Linked DNA regions of Kluyveromyces lactis. The protein of the gene in region 1 purifies or fractionates together with the protein of each later gene. This does not show direct contact. Links are inferred from orthologs where the notes say so. Each region holds a gene or a part of one and is shown in the gene's direction. Other genes may lie near its edges.

Region 1 (2,023 bases):
CTAAGAAATCCGAGTCACAACTTAGAGGCTTATCACATTTGTAGCAGGAGAAACAGTGGGTGTGCCATCTATTTCCGCCTAATTCGTACGCATGACCCATAGTAATATGGTTCGTACAACGAACACATACTGACGTCTCAGCAGCCCCCTTCGGAGAGGCAGACATACGGTAATTAGTTTTGCAGATGTAGCACGCTGTGGAGGTGATGGTCTTGTAGTGTGTTCGTTTGTCCCTGGATCAATAACTTTTTGATCTAATGGATCAAAAGCTGAAAAGAAATCTAAGATTAATCTTCGAATCGAAAGTATAATAATAACAGAACACGCACAAAGAGCACGACACACCAAAAAAAAAAAAAAGTTAATAGAGAGATGTATTAGCAGCGGCTTTATACTATGATATTTTCTTGCCACGCACCGTTAGAGAGTACTATATAAGGGAAAAGAATTCCAAGCTGTTCCTCGTGGACGGAGTAAATTCCCTCAATATGAATGTTGAGATCGAAATATAGATACGAGGGTTCAATTAACTCAAGGAATGTTTTGATCGAGAGTGAATGCAGCCCTATCTTGTTAAAATCCGAAACGTTTGAAGCGAGTTGATATAAATAAATCGTGTCTCAATCTTGATTATATATATGTACAATCGGTCCTAACCAGTGCTAAATATGGAAGTCAATTAGATAGGGAAACGTAAACAGCACACCACGTCAATTATATTCTAGCTGAATTGATATAGCATATCTATCAGCTGCAGAGAGCCACTAAGGTAAATTAGTGCTGTCTCTCAACGGTTTCGAAATGTATATATGCATTGAAACAAAATCAGGAACCAGGTTTGAGAATGTTTGAACTATGTGGTGTGCAGGCGTGATTTGGAGTTCAGTTTCTTTGTTTCAAGGTCTTAGAGTTCGAAGATTTTGGCTAAAATTGGAGTCAAAGAATGCTGGTTGTTGTCGGAATGTATCCAGGAAGAACCTTTGACATTTGTTTCCAAGCTAGAGCAATATATTACTATAATCTGCGCTGTTCCCTTCCATTCATTTAATTAATTAATTTATTACTTACTGCATATCACTTAATTCACTTTACCACAGATCACGTGACTAGAACATTCTTTCCCTTTTACTTCAACGTGAACAATGAAAAGTGAACTTTGTTAATATAACGTTGAACTGATGGAGAATGATGAGAGTAGGTTCAGATGCAAGAACTACAGGCTTCTTCATATCTTTATTTCGACGCTACCAAATTTCAAAGGCATAGATTGTTAACACATCATGGAATCTAAGGCAACGGCTTCTGGCTCCTTTTTGGAGAACATCATTGGAAAACCAGTATACGTCAAGCTATTCTCAGGAATATTGTATCAAGGTAAGCTAGAATCAATTGATGGGTTTATGAACGTCACAATGTCACAAGTGTCGGAACATTATGAGGCAGAAGAGAACGGAACTTTGCATAAATATCCTTCTGAAGTATTTCTAAGGGGATCGCAGGTGTTATACATTAGCGAAAAATAGGCTTCGATTGGGCAATAAGATTGACTTCGACCAATGACTTTTGTAAGTCGATATTATAAAGTGTCCTATTTGCTCAGAAGCTCAATAACTACAATAATATGATAATACTAATAATAATTTATATACAAAAGTATATAATTGTATACTATAAAGATGGAACGTTATCAAAGCGGAAAGTGTTAAAAAATACTACGATGCACATATATAAAGCACCAAAGCATACATAAATTTAAATTCTGATTTTATTTTAAAATAATAAGAATATGTAGATATCTAATACAATAATAATATATATTAACCTTGTACCAGTGAGTTATACATTACTCTTTTCAAATTTTTATATCATGATTCTTAAAAGAGAAAATTTATTGTCATATCGTTAGAGAAAAGGAGATCAAAGAGGTTCCTTTCGTAGTTTCTTATTTATTCTGTGATAAAGAAAGCTTTCAGATCAAACAAACCGCGAACCTCATATCATGTTGTAGTTTTTTTTTGAGAAT
Region 2 (2,062 bases), on another chromosome or scaffold:
CGTATGGTGGGGAGGCGACCGTTGATGGTTATAATAGTGAGACTAGATTAAAACTTACAGTCAAAAAGGGTTCTCTCAGAGCAGAGCCTAACATCGGAAAAGTTAGAGCGAAATTGGATTCTCAAGCCTTGAGATTCTACCCAACACAAGTGTTTTCAAAAATAGCTCGTGTCCACCCTCTCTTCTTGTCAAAAATTACTTCAAGATATTTGGTCAATGATTCTAAAAAGAAAAGCCATAACGTCGGTTTGATGATCAAATTCAAAGCAAGAAATCAAAAAGTTCTCGGTTATGCCAGATGCAGCTCAAACAAATGGGAATACTCTGACGTCGCTCTTGGTTTGTTAGAGCAGTTCAGATCTACATTCCCTGAGTTCTTTGCGAAACTTTCTAACTCGAAGGAACAAGCAATTCCATCGATCACTGATCTCTTCCCTAACAAATCTAGCGCGGAAGCTGATTCCATTTTGAAAACAGTGGCTGATTGGCTCTCAGAAGCAAGAAAACCATTCGTGGTGGTGTCTTTGGAAAGTGATTCGCTAACCAAGGCTTCGATGGCAGCTGTTGAATCTGAAATCATAAAATACGTTTCTTTACCAGATTCAAGCGAGCAGAAGAAATTAGCTAAGGTCCCACGTGAGGCAATCTTAAATGCGGAATCGTCATATGTTCTATTGCGCTCCCAAAGGTTCCACTTAGGTGATAGGGTAATGTACATTCAAGATTCAGGCAAGGTTCCACTTCACAGCAAAGGTACTGTCGTTGGCTACACTTCAATTGGCAAGAACGTCTCAATCCAAGTTCTATTTGACAATGAAATAATTGCAGGAAACAACTTTGGTGGTAGGTTGCAGACCAGACGTGGTTTGGGATTGGACTCTTCCTTCTTATTAAACTTGTCTGATAGACAATTGGTATATCATTCAAAGGCATCGAAGAGTGCTGATAAGAAACCAAAAGCAGTTCCTAATGATAAGCAAGTCGCCCTCGCAAAAAAGAAGAGAGTGGAGGAACTCAAAAAAAAGCAAGCCCATGAGTTGTTAAATCATATCAAGAAGGATAACGCGGAATCAAATACCGAATCTGGATCCGCTCCGCAAATAGCAGTTAACACTTTAAATCCTTCGGCTGCTAACAACGTGTTCAATGCCGTCTTGAACCAAATCAAACCAGGTTCTCAACAGCAAATTCAACCACCTCCAGCAAATTCTCTGCCTTACAATTTCACTGTTCCCCCACATATGGTTCCTGGTGGTATTCCTCATCCTCTTATGATGCAGCCGCCTTTCATTCCGAATAATGAGCATATTGCTTATGCAGCTCCTCCTCAGTCACAACCTGTACAAAATCCACCATTAGATAAAGAGGCATCCAGGAATCTTAAGAATCTCCTAATTAGAGATGAGAATGGACGTACAGCAAATGTGGAGAATAAAGACTCAGATGATACAAAGAGATCTTCTCATTCTCGTGGCGGTCGTCGTGGCCGTAGTAATCGTGGTCGTGGTGCCTCCGGGAGGGGTGGTCATTTCAAAAATTCTCCTAAAAAAACTGAAACCTGAATGTTGGTTTGAATGGACTATTAACAGTAAATATTATATCACTTCAGTAAATAATGCTTAGTATATAAGAATAGAGACACTTTCAGGTTCAACTTTTCAAAATTCCCGGTTTGTTGTTTGTTCCTTTATTTTTTGATCAGCGATATCGTGACTCTTAGCAAACCACTTAGTTTCAAACCCATTTGATCTATCAACTCCATCCCATCTATAACCGGGAACGATACCGAACCGATTTTCTGGAAAGTTTTTCTCGTAAAGCCTTCGACCCAACAGTGACGTATTCGTTCCTCGCAGGGTGTTTCCTTGATTCAATGGATCTTCGGTTGATAATAATGCACTTTTCTCAGTTTTGCGATCAAGTTTTGATATTTGTACTTCGCCTATATTTCGTATTTTAAGTTCTTCTTCCTTACGTACTTTCGCTGTCAAATTAGCCTTTTCTCGAAGTTTCAATTCTTCTTCGTATCCATCTATTACCTTACCTTTTTCGTCTCTATATA

Evidence for each region. The genes of interacting proteins can lie anywhere in the genome.
Region 2: the proteins of LSM6 (region 1) and XRN1 purify together in Saccharomyces cerevisiae (affinity purification with mass spectrometry; 5 studies listed by BioGRID). This does not show direct contact. The link is inferred for Kluyveromyces lactis from reciprocal best matches to the Saccharomyces cerevisiae genes LSM6 and XRN1.

Annotation. Positions count from the first base shown.
Region 1 is NC_006041.1:232,660-234,682, reverse strand, and holds LSM6 (U4/U6-U5 snRNP complex subunit LSM6), read left to right. Parts: upstream 1-1,280; coding exon 1,281-1,523; downstream 1,524-2,023. Other genes in the region: GTPase-activating protein RGA2, read right to left, coding at 1-166. UniProt on the Saccharomyces cerevisiae protein: Component of LSm protein complexes, which are involved in RNA processing and may function in a chaperone-like manner. Component of the cytoplasmic LSM1-LSM7 complex which is involved in mRNA degradation by activating the decapping step.
Region 2 is NC_006042.1:2,094,035-2,096,096, forward strand, and holds the end of XRN1 (chromatin-binding exonuclease XRN1), read left to right. Parts: coding exon 1-1,562; downstream 1,563-2,062. Other genes in the region: BUD13 (Bud13p), read right to left, coding at 1,659-2,062. UniProt on the Saccharomyces cerevisiae protein: Multifunctional protein that exhibits several independent functions at different levels of the cellular processes. 5'-3' exonuclease component of the nonsense-mediated mRNA decay (NMD) which is a highly conserved mRNA degradation pathway, an RNA surveillance system whose role is to identify and rid cells of mRNA with premature termination codons and thus prevents accumulation of potentially harmful truncated proteins.